Linked DNA regions of Xenopus tropicalis. The protein of the gene in region 1 binds, or shares a complex with, the protein of each later gene. Links are inferred from orthologs where the notes say so. Each region holds a gene or a part of one and is shown in the gene's direction. Other genes may lie near its edges.

Region 1 (8,863 bases):
TATATATATATATATATATATGTATATATGTATGTATATATATAAAATTATATAATATATGGGTTTTTTTTGTTTACAAATACCTTAGTTTGTAAAGTTTGTTGTTTGCTTTTGTTTGAGGCTCTTTTTAATAAATATTTTAGGTCACTATAAAGATAATGAGAAACCTATTGTGGTCTGTCGAACAGCACAAACAAAAAAGAAGGGGTGGGAAAGTAAGCAGGATTGTAGTAAAGGGAAAGGAAAACACACATTCTGCACATATCGAACAAGTTATTGCAAAGTTATTTGGGGATATGGTAGGTGTGCAATTTGTGATTAAATGACATTTGTTAGAAAAGGATCATTTGTTTTCCTGAAGCATATTTTGTGTTTTAACTATAAATCATCTTTATAACACCCAATAGGTCTACTTATGTACTGTAAGCAACAAAGTGTCATTAATGTGTCATTAATTTATATAGAAATCCAAAAGTTTCAATTTCGTGCTGGCCAAACCATTTTAGTCGGGGCTAAAACGATTCCCCGGAGACCTAATTACACTTCGGTATATTTTTTTTAATTTTCAAGTTTCCAGTTTTATTGACATATACAAATAACAATGAAGCATCATTACCGTAGTGAAATTCTTTTGGCCCATTTTCCCCCAAACTTTACATAGACAAAAAAAAACAAAAAAAAACAAATATTTAATATAATAAAAGTGTGCAATAAAGGTACAAGTATTTACAATAAAAAATGCAATGAAGTATTTGAGATTGTGCAGTGAGGATTTAAAGAATTTAAAGTGGCATTGCTTAAAGTGACATTATGAAAAGTCCAGTCGTTATGGGGAGTGTGTGTGTTGGTGTGTGCAGAATGTCAGCAGTTCAGAAGCCTGATGGCTTGTGGGTAGAAACTGTCTCTGTATCTGCTGGTGCGGTCTGGATGCTCCTGTACCGCCTGCCTGATGGTAGGAGCATGAAAAGTCTGTGGCTGGGGTCAGAGAGGATCCGCTGCATCTTCCTCCTACAGCGCTGTCTGTACAGGTCCTGCATGGCCAGCAGTTCACTTCTGGTGATGCGCTGTGCTGATCTCACCACCCTCTGCAGAGCTTTGCGCTCCAAAGCATTACAGCTGCCATACCAGGTGGTGATACAGCCAGACAGAATACTCTCGATGGAGCATCGATAGAAGTTTGTGAGTATTCTGGAGTCCATCCCGAACCTCCTCAGGCGCCGCAGAAAGAAGAGCCGCTGTCTTGCAGCTTTTGTGATCACACCAACGTGGTGAGACCAACTCAGATCCTCACTGATATTGATGCCCAGGCATCTGAAGCAGCTGACTCTCTCCACCTCTGCTCCCTCAATATGAATGGGGGTATGGCCTCCTACCTGCAGTCTCCTGTAATCCACAGTGAGCTCCTTAGTTTTGCTGACGTTGAGCAGCAGGTTGTTGTCACGGCACCAAGATGTCAGGGCTCTCACCTCTGCCCTGTATGCCGATTCATCTCCATTAGAAATGCAGCTGATGATGGTGGTGTCGTCTGCAAATTTGATGATAGTATTGGAGCTGTGTGTTGCTGTACAGTATTGGGTGAACAGGGTGTACAGCAGGGGGCTGAGCACACATCCCTGGGGAGACCAATGCCAAGTGTCAGTTTAGATAAGGTGATGTTGCCGGTCCGAACCACCTGAGGTCTGTTTGTCAGTAAGTCCAGGATCCAGCTGCACAGGGAGGAACCGATGTTCAGGTCACGGAGTTTCATGACAAATCTGGATGGTATGGTGGTGTTGAAAGCGGAGCTATAGTCAATGAACAGCATCCACACGTATGTATTTCTTTGGTCCAGGTGGGAGAGGGCAGTGTGAAGTGCAGTTGCTATGGCATGGTCTGTAGATCTATTTGACCTGTAGGCAAACTGGAGCGGATCAAGTGAAGCAGGGAGTAAAGATGTGATGTGAGCCTTGACTATACGCTCAAAGCACTTCATGGCAATGGAGGTATATAACTTACACAAGCAGTTTATTGATTGATTTCAATAATACATTTTTATTTTAAACAAATTGAGCTTAAGGTCTGACCATAAAATTTTGTCCATAGGTAAAAAATCGTATTGCCTAAAGTTTTTTGACAGGTCCTTATCAGATAATCTGTACCAATCTGTAATATTAATAGCTGTGTGATCCATCTTGGGTCAGAGAATGACCCCCAAATCTACCATTCTCATGTTATGTGTTATTTACAGATTGGGATGGTTCAGAAGCCATGAAATTGCGAAGGAAAGGGCCAACATTTGCAGGTAAATATAAGCAAATCAGGATTCTAAAGTGTGTGGTATGAACTTTAACAAAAGGCCAAACAGCATCCAGCACTTTATCATAATGTTCCTTTATAGTACCAGAGAGCTAAACACAAAAGCTGAAATTTTGATGAGTGTACAGTAGAATTAAGTCTAAAACAACTGGACTTTTCTGAGATTCACGTTTCAGAAAAGTCCAGTTGTTTTGGACTTAATTCTACTAGATACTGTATATCATGACCTGGATGAATAAGAATCTTCATAGACATTTTGATGAGAGTACTTATAGGAAATTAATTTTTGACTTTAGTTATTTATGATAAATCTTTGTGAAGGATTATGTAGTTTTGCTTCAGAGAGATAGGAAATATTAGCAGTCAGTGCATTTTTTTTTTACTCACATTAAATATTTAATAAAAATTAAATTGTGCAGGTATGCAGAAAGCTCCTGCTGGCTTCATTTAATGTTTAAATGTTTTACAGTAAACTTTAATGTATGGTGCATAAAAAGTTCAAATTTTGTACATTTTACCAATGTATAATGTATATTATGATGTATCTCGTAGGGCCTCAGCACAAAGGGTGATTTGTCATCCGCGATTTTTAATAGTTCAAATGGAAAGTAGTTCCTGCCATGTGCCTAGCATTTAAGCAACCATCACCTGACAAGTGCTTGCACTAGTACTTTCATGCAATTGTCATAGACACTGACGAGCTATTAGGTGATGCCCCTTTAGCTACTGCATAACATTCAGAATTGACCCATGCACAATTGCCCTAAATAAAAAAATTTTCGGTCCTCCCCTCCTAGTTATGTTTGCAGTATCCTTTAGATAAGGATTATTGACCTTGCAGTTACTCTACTGTGTCTGTATCTAGGATCCCTGCCATAAAACAGGAGATTTCTGTCTATGTCATTGAGAAATCGATGCGCCTGCAATACCAGCAGTTGTTGCTTCTTTTATTTCAGTTTGTCTCCTTTTTCATTTTATACTTTTCCTCTCTGAGGTGCTGTAAAACATTGTAACTGCTTGAATTTTTGAACTGGCTGTATACATAAGCTGCATGACTTACTGACAGCACTGTGACCGTACAGAAGCACATTTTAAATGCCCTCAAGGCAGACTCACTGTTGTGTTATGTGGTCCCTTTTATGTGATTGAAAAAGCCTGGTTATGTATAGAAGCTGTAAATGGTGGGTTTAATTCTTATCCATCCTCTGGATCAGTGAATTTGTGAATTATAAATTTATATATACCAGCTCTGGTTAATCCATTTTTTTTTTCATTCATAATTTTTCCTTTACATTCATTGGAACTAATCCTGTGTTTTCTTTTTTTTCCCAGACATGGAAGTGTTGTACTGGAAGCACATAAAGGAGCGAATGACTGCACAAAGGCAGCTTCACAGGAGGATGGTAAAGGAGTGGTTATGGGGCAGATTTTTTTTCCATTTTTGTGCTGTGTAGCTGATTCTGTTATGATGTCGTAACTATATTCATCTCTACAGCTTAAGAGAGCACTATTCTGTAAAGATCCAAACTGTATCCCTAGGCTACTTTTCTTTGATCTGAAGCCAAATTCTCCTAGCCATTCCACCAAGTCATGGCTGTACGATAAAACTAGGGAATGTGATTAATAGTTACCCTGTTGCCCCATGATTTACTTTTAGTTCATGTTTGCAAGTGATTAAATATGCAAAAACAGGTTATGTAGTTACAAGTTAGTAATTATGAAGCTGCAATGCCAACTTGCCATGTTAAGGTTTACCCCATATGGGAGTCTTACTTCTGTTAAAAGACAATAGTGTAAATATGGACAGCCCCTGTCAGAAAAAATATGTTTGCAAATCACCTTTATTATTCAAAATGTGTAGTTTGAAGCTACAGACCAGGATCAACACTGTTACAATCTGCTCTCTCTAGGGGATTTCTCAGGCCACATTGAACTGGTTCTGCACATGCCTTCCCTCTCCTGTTTCATTTGCATATGAAAATCGCTGAAGTTGCCTCGCGAGGCTTTTTCGGCGATTTGCGCGAAATCGCGCCGCCGTGTGCCATCCCACCGGCGACTTGCATTTTCGCCGGTGGGATGGCAGGTGAAGGCAACTCGGGGAGATTAGTTGCCCGCGACCAGGGAGTTTTGTCGCGGGCGACTAATCTCCCGGTGTGCCAGAGCCCTTAGCTGGCAAGATTCAGCCAGTCGGATCAATGAAATGCAAATGAAGCAGGAGAGGGAAGGCATGTGCAGAACCAGTTCCCTGTAAAGTTTCTGTCTTGTACAGGTGTTGCCAATCCCTTTCTAGGAAAAAGGAGAGAGCAAAGAGAGTCTTAACAGTGCTGATACTGGTCTTTAACTTCAAAACTACACATTTTAATTAAAAAAGATAATTTGCAAAAATGTTTCTCTAACAGGGCCTCTTCAAATTCTGAACGTAAGCATTATTTGTATGATTTTATCCGGTACATGTAGAGGGCCAGCTGTCAACTTGGTTCTGTTAGTACTGTTGTTTTTTTTTCTTTTGTAACGTACACAAATTTCATGCAGGGTGCACAGTTTGTGAAAGAGGTTACTTTGTTGAATCAAGAGGAAGAGCTAGTTAATCCTTTGGAGGAGCCTCGTGATGCAGATTATTTGGATTATGATGGTCCTGCAGGTATGTATGGTTTGTAGTGATCTTTAACTGAATTATGACTTCCTTATAAAACGGAAGGTTGGAAAGGGTTTTTGGGGGGAAAAAAAAGCATTGAATCAAACTCAAACATGTAAGAGTTAATAGTAAATAACTTAAAATGCAATCTGTTTATTACATCACTGCCACCTGGTTGTTGCGCCCTTAACCCTTTTAACATGAATGATTATGACCTGCGTAGTCAGAGAGTTAGGGACTACAATGTATATCTACATTATGAATAAATTACTATTTTTATTATATTTATCTAGATGATGCTTCAGACCATGAAGATTTGGGAGAGAATATTCCAGCCTGTTTACGTGAGGAGCCTGCCCTTGGGGATATAGGTAGTACATTCTTTCTTTTTTACTGTTATGAAATATTATTGGGGCTGTAGTTCACCAGGTCTTTGTAATGTCTTATTAGGTGCCCAAATATTTTCTCTGAGATTACTCTATATCTATATTTTTAATTTTCATTTGATATGAAAGTTTAAATAGTTATATATTGGTAACTGAAGATGTGCTGTATAACTTGGAGTTACAGTATGCATAGCTCCTTTCCTGACCTTGAGTCTGTTTTGGTGTAGAGCCTGTAACTCTCCATGATCAGTTAAGTTACGAGGAGCTGGTGAGAAGAAATGTGGTGAGTACTTTCCTGTTCTTATTTCTTTGCTTAATATTTTCTCCCACTGGGCTGAAACAGTATTACAGCTATATAGGTAGGAAACGTCAAAGCAAAGGCTGCCAGTAGGCATCATACCAGGGTTCTTAGCAGAGACAGCATCAAAAACACCTGTGCTGTTTGGTATTGAAAATAATATTTTCTTTAGGTGCTTGCATTAAAATTTTAAGCTTGGAAGAGCTGAGCACATTTCCTGCGGGAGTAAACTTTTTTTTCAGCGGCACTCCAATCTGGAATTTAACCTACAAATCAGAAAATGGTTTGAATGACAGACTGAAAAATAAATAGAGGGCCTGAACAAAAAGTTAAGTATTTGAAAATAACAATCATAATAAAACTGTAACCTCATAGGACAACAGTTTTTTTTTGTTGCCGGGATCAGTGACCCTGTAAGACAAATAGCTTTTTATTCTGATAGCTGGAAAGAGGCAGAAATGGAATGCAATTATTTAAAAAACTATAAAATATGAGCGAAGCATACTAAAACTGAACGTAAAGCTAAACTAACCCTTAAGGAACACATTTCCCTCAGGTTCTGTTTGCAAAAAAGCTTTAAAGGAAGAAGGAAAGGTAAAAATGAACTAAGCTATATCAGAAGGGTCTATGTACATACAGCCATAAGCACTCACAGAACTGCTGCTCTGAGATCTCATGTATGCATGATCTTCTGTGTCAGATTTCCTGCTCTCAGAAACATCTTTCAGGGCAGGGTACAAGCCTGCTCAGTTTGCTCTTCTCTCCCCCTTCCTTCTGCTCTCAGAATTCATCATCCTTCCTTGCTCCTTATTTGCATGTCACTTTTTTTCCAGGAGCTCTTCATGGCAAATTCTCAGAAGTATGCCCAGGAAACTGTACTTTCATTGCGGGTGCGTGAGTGGGAGGATAAAATGGGCCCACAGTTACAGGAACAGGTAAGTCAGACTTTGTTATCTATATGTCACATTATGGCATTAGGTTTAGGTATCTAAATGGAAAGGTTTTTACAGCTGCAGGCCTGACAATTACAGTTTGTTCCCAGCAGCATCATACATAAAAAAAAAAAAAATCTATTATTTTCCTGTCCTCTAGGAAGAACGTGGAGCTTTTGACATTCATGATTATGGCGACCGATTAACTGCACAATTCAGTAAAGTAGGAGAATGGCGTTCATTTGCCAGTCTCATGGCAGACAAAGAACCCTATGAGGTGTGCAGATACATGCTGGCATCCCTTCAATTGGTGAGTAATAGCTTACAATAGATTTATTGATCACTATTGTATCTAAGTCATCAAGAGTTTGGTTTTGTTAAACTATTACAGCCCATTAACTGGTGTTTTTTTATTAAAATAAAAAAGGGTTGGAGAAATATGACAAAATACAATAAACATGCATTTATCTCTTGATTCTTTTACATTTCGCAAGGCATAGTGGCCCTAAATGAACCATCCTGTATGCCTGAAAATTTGTGTAGCAATTAGTGCCACCTAGAACACTTTATTCTGCAGAAAGCTTTACCATACCTGAGTAAAGAGCACTAGAAGCTCCCTCTGTTTGTATAAGATAGCAGTTGCCATTTTAGTGTCATTTAGTGCCAGTTTAGCTTCCTGTTGCAGCTCTAGCCCTTGGTAGGCCAGATCACACATTCCTAAGGGAGGGAGGAGCAGTAGAGGGGTGAGCGCTGTGCAGACTCGCCATGGGAATGATGGATTTTGAGAAAGTCTGATACCGAAGAACATGTTTACCCAAAAAGCATCTGTTTATATTTTTATCTCTAGTAAGATAGTATATGTTGTGTCCTTTATCATGCTGGGTTGATGTAGTTCTGCAATGAAATGTATTGGACAGTTTTGTCAACCTGGGTTAAACAGATAAAACCTCAGCCCTTTGATAGGCCCTAGGCACATGTTTTGTTGCATTTTGTCATACCCTATGGACTCCTTAAATTGGTCAGACTGATTTGTGGGCCACTGTAAGAGGAGAACTAATGTTTTATAAATATATGTAGTCAATCTCCTATCAAATTATTACTGGCCAGTCTTTGAAACGGTTTAATGCATTCCATGTCCAAATGAATGTATGTTTTCTTTGGCAGCCTCTTGTACATCCAGAATTTCTCCTCACTTCCTAATTTTTTGTTTTCTCTCCAGGCTAATGATTACACTGTAGAAGTTTCACAAAAACCTGGCCTACACGAAGGTTTGGATACTATGGCACTGCGCCTATTAAGTCAGCAAAAAGCACACGAGAGGTTTAAAACCTACACAGCGCCATCCATCTCTCAGCAGTGACAGACTCTTCTTAGCCTTGTGTTTGCAGTGTAAGCTGCTAAAGTACTCCTGCTATATACCGCTCAGGTGTGCACAGCCAGTGGACATTGTGTGACCCAGTCATGGTCATGTGGCTGCAGTATTCTTCAAGCACAGGGTTCTGAAAGGCACTGCAGAAAAATGCTGACCTTGGATTTGATTTTTAAGCTAGAATTTTAGTCTTCTCAGAAGTATGCCACCGTGCTGTAGTCACCAACCTGTACAGTTCCTTAATTATCATGCAAATCATGACTGTGGGTGGGGCAACTTTATTGTACAGGGCGCATATTATTTAGACTAAGCATTCTAATGTATGTATAATTACTATTATGCTCCTTTGCATTGAATGTGTTTATTGATATTCTAATTCCTGCTTTGGTACCACTGTGGTTAATACACAAAGTGCTCTGTGGAAAAGCTATGTAGTCAGGGCCACCTTAAGTAACTATTTTATTTGATCTGAGTACTGTACATATGTTGTTTTATCCGTTTTCTTTGTACAGCATTCCTATTTGTCTTTGGCTTTTATATCTATAAAAATCTGCATTATTATGTATCAGTGGACTGAAGATTATTTGATATTCTGCAAGTCTGTATATTTGTAAGCAGATGGAAAAAAAAAATACAGAACAAATCCATTTTAGTGGGAAAGGGGAATTGCTGATGTTTACGCTATATCTGCTCCATGTAAGCGTGTATTCAGGCTATAGATAGTAGTACAAATTGTCCGGATATTGTATTAAATACATTGCATATAATGTGTCAGTTTTGTAAATTAAATTATATAAAGTGACATCATTCTTGTGCATGGTATTAAATACAACATGAAAGATACCTTTTTTTATTGTTAGAGTTTAGCAGGAAAGAGCAAAGTGATTTTAAAATACAACATATACATCCATAAATTGTGATCCATATATAGCAAGTGCTTGTGAAATG
Region 2 (8,863 bases), on another chromosome or scaffold:
CCTTATCATATTCCTGGATGTGACCGAAATCCTAATTAGAAGAATATTCTGAGAGTCAGTGTTCTAAAATCACTCGGTTATGTCACCTTACAGCATTCACAGATTCTCTGCCAGAAAGGAAAACTGCCTTTGTCACATCCAAATAGAGCAGGAATTCTTGGGGAGAAAAGAATAAGGGACTAAAACTTTTTGGCTGTATAACATATTAAAGAAAAAGTGCGCTTTAATGAGTAGTTGACCTTCAATTAACTTATAGTAGACATTCTGACACTATTTGCAGTTGGTCTTCATTTTTAAATTATCTTGTTGCTATGGTCCAATTTACCCTAGTAACCAGGCAGTGGTTTAAATGATAGACTGGAAGATGAATAGGAGAATTGTAGCTTCAAATATCAAGAGTTTATTGGCTGCCAGGGTTAGTGACCCCAATTGGAAAGCGGGAAAATTATTCAAAAACTGTTAAAAAATTTAAAAAAAAAAATATATATATATATATATAATATATATAAAAGCAATTAAAAAGTTTCTAAGAAACACAACTGAAATATCTCCACTGCACTTACCTTACACCCCAAAGGCTGCACAAAAGGCATCCAGACATAGGACAAGAATGTCCCAGATGCCACCACTCCCCGGCTGATTTCCTACATATGGTGTGGAGTTGCCCACGGGCACAACGCTTCTGGGGGAAAGTAGCGGACACTATAAGGGACAGAACAAGCCTAATACTCCGGCTAGACCCAATAGTAATACTGCTAAATCAGGTAGAGGATCTATCACCCAAAAGGGCTGAAAGAACACTGCTCCTTATACTATGCATGTACGCAATAAAAACAATTGCTCTATACTGGAAATCACTTGAGGGCCCCAGAGTTGCATCGTGGGAATCCATGATTAACAAAGCTATACCCTTATACAAGTTAACATACATAAGGAGGGAGTGCCCTCTAAAATTTGATAAAATATGGTCAACGTGGTTAGATGCAGAACCCCCCTAAGACTTGCAGGTTGGGGAAGGCCCCACTCCCAAACTCCCCCTGAACAGCCCCCACACCTCACGCAAAAGTGTAACACCAACACCTCAATCATGCCCTGGGTGGTATGCAAATAGCCGCGAAGTAAAGGTTAACTTACGTACAGCATATGCATTAGTAAAGTCACTGCAATGTTCTTATTGTTATGTTGTTAATTTATTTTATTTACTTTCTGTACAATAAGCAAATGACAATGGAAAGAATATACTGCAAACTATGTACATTTAAACTTAATAAAAGAATTGTTAAAGTGAATTGTTCATACAGGAAACAATAGAATGATAATTACGTTTAATAAACATAGATAATGATTATGTTCCCTGCCTTTTAACTGCTAACTGTATTAGGAGGTGCTGTTCTGCTACATGAAGCCATCCGAAGCAGTGACACATAATATCAACCAAGATACAGCATTAAGAGCCTTCAGCCTGTACTGCAGACTCAGCATCCACCTGCAACATAAGGTAAATATGAGCATTATACACTAATTATACACCAATCCATCGCTTACCTTTCAGTGGTCAGAACTGAAAAAAGTGTCCCACTTGCTTCCGACGCAACTCTTTTACAGATTGTGGTGGATAGTTGCATCTTTAGATGGATGGGGTAGGTGCAAATACAACAACTGAGCTTAAAGTTTGGCAAAATAATAGTAAGCCTTCATAGATTCATCTTGATTTGAAACCGCCGCCGGACTTGTACATCAGTGTCTTATGTTATGCGTATTTATGTAACAGTAAATAAGCCTGCGTGTGTTCCAAAATGTACTTGTACAACGTTCTGTAGAAACCCCTTTCCATCATTATGACCAGGCATTGCAAACATCTAGGGGAACTGCCAGTAAAGCAGTAAAGCTCTGTTTGTGTTTAACAGTTTAGCTCTGAAGGAAGAACATATTTGTCTTTGCTGGAAGACACAGGAGGGTGGATCGAGAGCCAAGTCCTTCCAACTCTAGAAAGTAATGGAGACCTCTCCGAGGAGTCATGTAATATGTGCCATCAGATCCTCAAGGTAATATCACTTTTCGTGTTTGAAGGTTTGGATGTGGCAGGCCACAGTGATAAATGTTTCTGTATTTATTTGATTACTGTACTTTAAAAAATGTTTCTATGATATGTTTGAGGGAGGACCAGAAAAAAATGGTGTAAAATCCGGGAAAATGTAAAAAGTAGGGAAATCTGTTATGCTTTATATGGGGCCACAAAACTGTGTAAAAAGTTATCATGTTAAAGATGGGTTGTCATCACTCTGGTACAGGGGGTACTCCAGTCAGGGGCCCCTTGGCAGGGAGAACCCAAAGAAATGCAGCAGTCCAATTTGCAGGCTATGAAGGGTGTGGGGCTTGGGGGTAAGTAGGAAGAGTCTGGGTGGAATGTGGGTGTGTTATGTGTGTAATTAGCATGGTTAGGGTTATATCTGATTCATAGCCCGGAGAACAACTTAGGCAATTGTTTTTTCTAATTTGAGCCCCATTCTATTAAGTTGGTGGGGTCCACCACTCGGGGGGTGACATGCTGCAAAAAAAAAAAAGTACCAGTAAGTTGTCAGTGTATCCTATTTCCATCCCATGGTATCTCATCGGATCTGAGCTTAGATTGGTTCAGGTTGGTTATAACAAATCTCAGAAATATGGAATTCACGAGCACAAAAACTTGAATTGCAAAAAATGATCATAAATCCAGTGGGAAAGTCAGCTTGCCTTAGCCTTAATAAACTCAAATCTCCAGTCTTGCACCTATAATATAATATAGCTGAACAAAACTGTGCAATTAAAACGCATTATGCCACACAGAAATCCTAATAGAGGTTCAGATGCCCATGGCAACTCCTTGTGACCTTGGATAAGGCCCCTAACATCTAATTCCTTTATCTGTATACAGGCCTATCTGACTGTTTGTAAAGACGTATTGATGGTTGGCCTCGCTGACTCGGAATTTCAAGCCCAGCTTCTTCAGATTACTCTTTCAGTGATACAGACTGGTAAGGGGAAAATCTCAGTGAGTAATGGAATTTTCTTGCAGTGATCCTTAATGTTAGTAAAGGGGGTGGCATTTTCAAGAGAACTGTTGTCCGCGGTTGTGCATTTTAACAGTGACAAACCGCTGCGTGTCTTTGCCCTTAGATATGGCGTACTGATGCACAGGGCAGCTATCATAGCTTGAAAGTACAGAAATCAAGAAATTAAAGGTCCATCTCTGCAATGCTGTCCCCCCAAAGCTCTTTGGCAAACCTTCTTATGCCTGATCCCTTTCCCATTTCAGTCATGCTATATAGGCCTTCATTATTTCTTTTGTTATACTGATAAAAGCCTAACAGTGAATCCATGATAGCAGAGCAATGGTTATACATCTGTTTAAAATAATGAGGACATTTAGGGCCCCCTGTCACTAAATAACATTTTGCTGGGGTTGAAAGAGTTAAAGGGTAACTACAGCTTCTCAACCAAAATTTGTTAAAGAGCCCCAGACAACACAGAAACCTTTAATATATCAATGATTGTAATCTGTATGAATAAATACCATTTTACTGTATATGCTGAAATCCAGCTGCAAAACAGTTCTTCCCTATGTGCATCATTTGAAATCCTGGCAGGGGAGAAGGGACTAAAACATTGATGTTGCAGATTGCAACAACTTTTCCATAGCTTGCAGACAGCATGCAGGAACTACATAACCCACAATGCTTTGCACTGTGATGTTTCTTTCCTTATTGACATCACGTGTGCAGGGAATTGTGGGATTGGGAGGATGCAGGCTGAAGGCAGGCTGAGGACAGGCGACTACTGTTATATTTTATTTGAGTCACAAAGTAGCCAGCCAGATCAGCAGGGGAACAGGGGGCAGGGCTTAGGGAACTGTTCAAAACCATATTATTGCATTAAAAATCATGAAAAGGCTGCATATTTTTTAATTCAGGGGTGGACAAGACGTCGATCGTGGTCCACCAGTAGATCCCCCGTGGATTTCTTGTGGACCGTGACGAAGCATCATGTACCTATGCTGTGTCTTGAAAGAAGGAGTCATCGGTCGATTGCCGATGGAAAAAGTCTGGCCACCCCTGTTTTAATTGATGTGATTTACAAAGTTGCTTGAAATCCATGTTTTCTTTTCAAAAAGTTCAAGTTGTGTTTGGGTGGAGTTCCCCTTTAACGAAACAGATTTATTGATTGTTCTTCTAAATGGAATATGCTGTTGATATGATTAAGTTTCTGTTTTTTTTCTCTTCCAGAGAAGTGCCATGATTGTTTGCCAATGCTGTTCTCTGTGCTGAAGGAAATCACAGAACTGTGTTTGGCTCACAAGATGAGCGACGCCAGCGTGGAATGCGACGAGATGCTCGATGCCATCCAGAGAGTATTCCATAAGTCTTTGGAGACTGTCGCACGCGGGCTTAGAAAACAGAGGGAAGAGGCACTACCGGTATTGATTGGCACAGTATACATCAACTGTATCAGTGACACCGTTTAGCCAGCTTATTAGTGATCTGAAATCTGTAAACAACTGCAGTGTTACAAACTCACTCCATGTCAAAGCAGCTTGCATAGAAGTTACTGGCAATGAAAGGGTTAGCAAGCGAGGCCTATCATACAAGATAGCATTTGTGTATAGCAAGTACAGCTTAAGAGAGCTAACAAGTCAGAATTAATGGCAAGGATCCAGAACGATAAGGGAGAAGATTTCTGCCCAATAGAGTTTGCAGTCTAACTGTATTCTAGATGGCATTTACACACACCAAAAGCAGATTAGAGTTTTTATTAGCTCGAATTTAATAGGCCCAATGACCTGTATGTGCTGAAATGCCCTGCAGTCCCTGGATGTGCAATTAAAGGAAAGGTGACCAAATAAACGTTGGGTGGATTTGCCCTTTTCATATTTCTGCCTGCAAACTGAAATAAAATGTAATTCTAAACAACTTTCCAATATAAATTAGACAATTTAAAGGGATACTGTCATGATTTTTATGGTGTCTCTCAATTTGGGAACATAGCAGACCAGGATTGTAGCTGATAATTATAGATAAATTATAAATACATTATAGGGAAGTTGCACGCTATTTGCATGTGAGGAAAGGGCAGTATGAAAGTCCTAAATAATGAATTTTGTAGATTGATCTCTCTGGTTCAGTAGTTTTAATGCTGTTCTTAAATCCACCCTATGGTTTTGTTCCATGTGTTTATCCTTTGCAGCTTCTGCAAGCTATTCAGCCTTCTCTAGGAGAGTTTGTTCACACAGTTCAGTGCTGGCACACCGCTTCCAAGGTGGTACATCGAGGGATGCTTTCCACGCTGTTGGCTGCAGTGGTTGTTGAAATAAGCCACTCACTGCGCAAAGTAGGTTTTATGGTACTTGCATGCCTGTTTGAACTATAACACTCCAAATCAAATATTTCCTTTATTGGCTGCAAATAGTTCTTCCTTTCTGCTTGCACATTTAGCCAATCTGCAGGAATCTAATATAATATATGTCTTCAATAGATGTCTATGGATGCTAGTGCATCACAGCAATGAGAAATTGCTTTACAGTGCAGGTTGTCAGTCCAACTAAGAATGGGATTTAAGCTAATGGCACACCTTGTGGAAGCCAGTACTTGCCCAATACTTTGTGTCCCTCCTGCTGTTTGCTGGCACGTGCTTGTCAATGCGTACACATGGCTAATTTTTTTCCAGAAATTGCATAATTTAGCATTTTCAAGCCAACATTTTTTATTCAGCGATGGACAGAGAAAAGTAAGGATCCATCAGATGTGCCCTTAGCCTTACAGGCCTAATGGTCAAGGGCTTTGCTGTCATGGAGTCTATAAATGATACTGTGCATCTGTTAGAGATTGAAATGTAACATTAAGTTATCAGAATTTTGGATGATGCACTTGTTATGATGCTGCCATATATCTGTTCGTTTGCTAATGCCAACCTTGCTACCAGTGTTTAAAGTGCTGTTGTATACAGATGGAGCATTCTTTATGTTTGCATGTCCCACCGTATCATTTATAGATTTTTATTATTCTCTTTTTCCCCTCGAAGTCAGTGTTGCGACCACTGCCCTATCTAAATCGCTACATTTTAAAACCAAGTTTGTTTCATCCATAGACACCGCATGTAGTTTGCTCCAGCCTCCAATGCATGGCTCTATTACCGTAATAGTATCTATAGCTTGGTTATAACTGCACTGATCACTTACTTTCCAATTTTCTCCCTAGATTACAGATTTAAGTGAACTAACGCCACCCACATCTATTTCTGATCTGCCTCCGCTTTCAAAATGTATAATGACAATTATCGTTAAATCTCCAAGTGCTGTAAGGTGAGTGACTTGCAGTGATTTCCTTCCTGTGCTAAAGAAAACGACTTAAAGGACGAGGAAAGGTGAAATCACTGGGGAGTGCCAAAAATTAGGCACCACCCAGTGATTGGAATCATTTCCCTGAATAGCCCTGTTAGTAGAAAACTGCCCTGGCCTGGGATTCTTCTCATCGAGCACCATGGAGCGATTTTCTTCTTCCACTTCATTTTTCTAATATTTGGCACCCCCTAAGCTTTAGTTTCTTTCACAAGCAAATTCACCTGTGATACACTAATAACCCACTGCCTTTTTATAAGCTACTTAGTAACACTCGTAACAATGTATAAGCATAAGCTCTGGCTGTGGAAGTCCCTTACATGTATGTCGCAGGAGTCAGAGACTTCTAAGTTGTACACGTTATTTAAACTAGGGCTATAGGGGGTGATCCTACAGCTTCCCTTAGAGCAGGGTACCATACTGAGAGCTCTGAAGGGAGATGTGGGTTAAGGCTGACAAATATTTGGGCATCACCGATAACATCCCAGCTGATTCACTGACACAATATATGCCCTTGAATCAAGCAGTGTTGCTAACTGTAACCCATTTTCCTGCCTTGTGTTTGCATGTTCCCCTAGAGATGAGCAAGGGTCACTTCTAACGCTGATCTGTGTGATAGGTACCTTTTGCTAATTGGCCATAAATTGCATAGTTTATACCTTGCTGCTTCATTTAAAATGTCTGTTGTATTAGTCCCCAGTGTGAATGTGAAAGGCTCCATAGTTTGCTGGAAGCCAATAGTGTTTTGGCAAACTAAAGAACTTTCAACCACTGGTCTCCTACCGGCCAATTTCCAGGTATAGCTACCTCTATTGAGCAGGTAGTTCCTAATCATCTTTTCATAAAGTTCTGTTAAAATTGGAACTGGAAAACCACATTCAGATGATCAAAAAATGGACATGGTTCTCCTTTAAAGCTTTCCTGTCAGCATTCTGTTAAGTGTAAAATCTCTTCTGATTCTTGCAAGCAACATAATAAATGTACAGCTTAGTGTGGGAGTTAATAGCTGTAATTACTGCATGTAAAGGAAACCAGGCGCCTCGCTCCAACCAGCTTGTTGGAGCAGTCATAAAGTACATTTCTGATTGCAGTATGGTTACTCAGCTCAACCAAAAGCACAGTGGGAAACTTGCTGAGCTCCCAGAACATCACAGTGATATGTTCTATCCAACCTTATTTGCACAGTGTTAGCCAAGCAATGGGTTCAGGCACGGCGCCTTCACTGCACAGCCATTATCCATCATTCACATTCGCATCTGCAGAGTGAAAGCCATCATTGGGTAACAATAATCTCTTCATAATATAAATATATATTCTTTTTATCTCCCTACACAGTTCATTCTTGGATGAATTGACAGAATGCATCACATTAGAAGAAGTAGAAGGAATACTGAGCTTGTCCGCATCTTTGTATGTTGCTGTTGTCTGCAATAAAAGTAAGGAATGCAACGTGTTCCATATTGTTTGGCTGTTAATGTTAGCAATAAATGGATCCTCCGTTGCAAGCTTTCCAGTGAGCCAACAGTTTGGGGAGAAATGGGGCTGGAGGGACTTAAAAAGTAAATGATAAATATCAGAATGGTCAGAAGTAGATACAGGAACAGAGGCTTCATTAGAGAGACTAATGAGCAGGTGGGAGTTGCTGGACAGGGGGGTTATAGAGGAATGTTGGGAAGCGCAGCTTAGGGTGCCAGAGATAGGTGGGGAGAAGGTGGTGCTACAGGGAAGTACTATGCAAGCCATTTACAGAATGTCAGGAACTAGATCAGTGATTCCCAACCAGTGGTTCGTGAACAACATGTTGCTCCCCAGCCCCTTGGATGTTGCTCCCAGGGGCCTCAAAGCAGGTGCTCATTTTTGAATTTCTGGCTTGAAGACAAGTTTTGGTTGCATAAAAACCCAGTGTAAAGCCAAACAGAGACTTCTATAGGCTGCCAGTCCACATAGGGCTTACCAAATAGCCAATTATAGCTTTTATTTGCACCCCAGGATATATTTCCATGCTTGTGTTGCTCCCCAACACTTTTTGCATTTGAATGTGGCTCTTGGGTATAAAAGCTGGGAATCCCTGATCTAGATAAACAGATAACCTCTCTCTCTCCTTTGGATTTTAAGATTATTCCTAATGGTGATTATGCTTCTTTCTTAGGGAAACAAATACCCCCTGCAGTTAAGAATACTGCATCAGCAATTTATAGGAAACTGAAGAATTTCAGTGAGGTAACCATGGACGATGCCGGAAGCATTGAAAGGTAAGTTGGAAAGCGAGAACTGGAAGCAAGTTCCCATGGCCATTAATTGGCTTTCGTTTATGAAGTAGAAGCTAGGAAGGCAGTGCTCTAGAATGCTGGAGGTTGTGTTTCTGACATTGGGTCTCTGTGATAGGTAAACCAGAATCACTTTCACTGTTCAGACAACTCCCTGGCCCAGTTCTTTCCTGCTGTTTTCAGTAAAAGTGGGCTGATTACTGAACTATGTGTGATTAGTCTGGCA

The links.
Region 2: the proteins of ncaph2 (region 1) and ncapg2 are in contact, whole or in part, in a cryo-EM structure (PDB 9F5W), measured with the Homo sapiens proteins. The link is inferred for Xenopus tropicalis from reciprocal best matches to the Homo sapiens genes NCAPH2 and NCAPG2. Residues at the interface, in NP_689512.2 of Homo sapiens: Pro316, Trp317, Gln318, Ser319, Leu320, Pro322, Phe323, Asp324, Ser325, Leu326, Glu327, Ser328, Lys329, Pro330, Phe331, Lys332, Lys333, Gly334, Arg335, Pro336, Tyr337, Ser338, Val339, Glu344, Gln360, Asp361, Phe362, Gln364, Trp365, Tyr366; in NP_001268861.1 of Homo sapiens: Lys248, Leu251, Gln252, His292, Ile294, His295, Leu296, Pro297, Arg299, Ser300, Val302, Lys340, Ala341, Arg342, Asn343, Ser344, Glu345, Val346, Pro388, Tyr389, Pro390, Arg393, Gly425, Glu426, Ala428, Phe429, Asp430, Thr431, Ser432, Arg437.

Annotation. Positions count from the first base shown.
Region 1 is NC_030679.2:89,423,136-89,431,998, forward strand, and holds the end of ncaph2 (condensin-2 complex subunit H2), read left to right. Parts: intron 1-2,227; coding exon 2,228-2,281; intron 2,282-3,627; coding exon 3,628-3,698; intron 3,699-4,827; coding exon 4,828-4,936; intron 4,937-5,223; coding exon 5,224-5,301; intron 5,302-5,543; coding exon 5,544-5,599; intron 5,600-6,447; coding exon 6,448-6,549; intron 6,550-6,706; coding exon 6,707-6,856; intron 6,857-7,765; coding exon 7,766-7,906; 3' UTR 7,907-8,758; downstream 8,759-8,863. UniProt on the Homo sapiens protein: Regulatory subunit of the condensin-2 complex, a complex that seems to provide chromosomes with an additional level of organization and rigidity and in establishing mitotic chromosome architecture.
Region 2 is NC_030682.2:18,471,475-18,480,337, reverse strand, and holds part of ncapg2 (condensin-2 complex subunit G2), read left to right. Parts: intron 1-1,381; coding exon 1,382-1,498; intron 1,499-1,907; coding exon 1,908-2,045; intron 2,046-2,914; coding exon 2,915-3,014; intron 3,015-4,262; coding exon 4,263-4,453; intron 4,454-5,220; coding exon 5,221-5,364; intron 5,365-6,230; coding exon 6,231-6,334; intron 6,335-7,705; coding exon 7,706-7,806; intron 7,807-8,519; coding exon 8,520-8,622; intron 8,623-8,863. UniProt on the Homo sapiens protein: Regulatory subunit of the condensin-2 complex, a complex which establishes mitotic chromosome architecture and is involved in physical rigidity of the chromatid axis.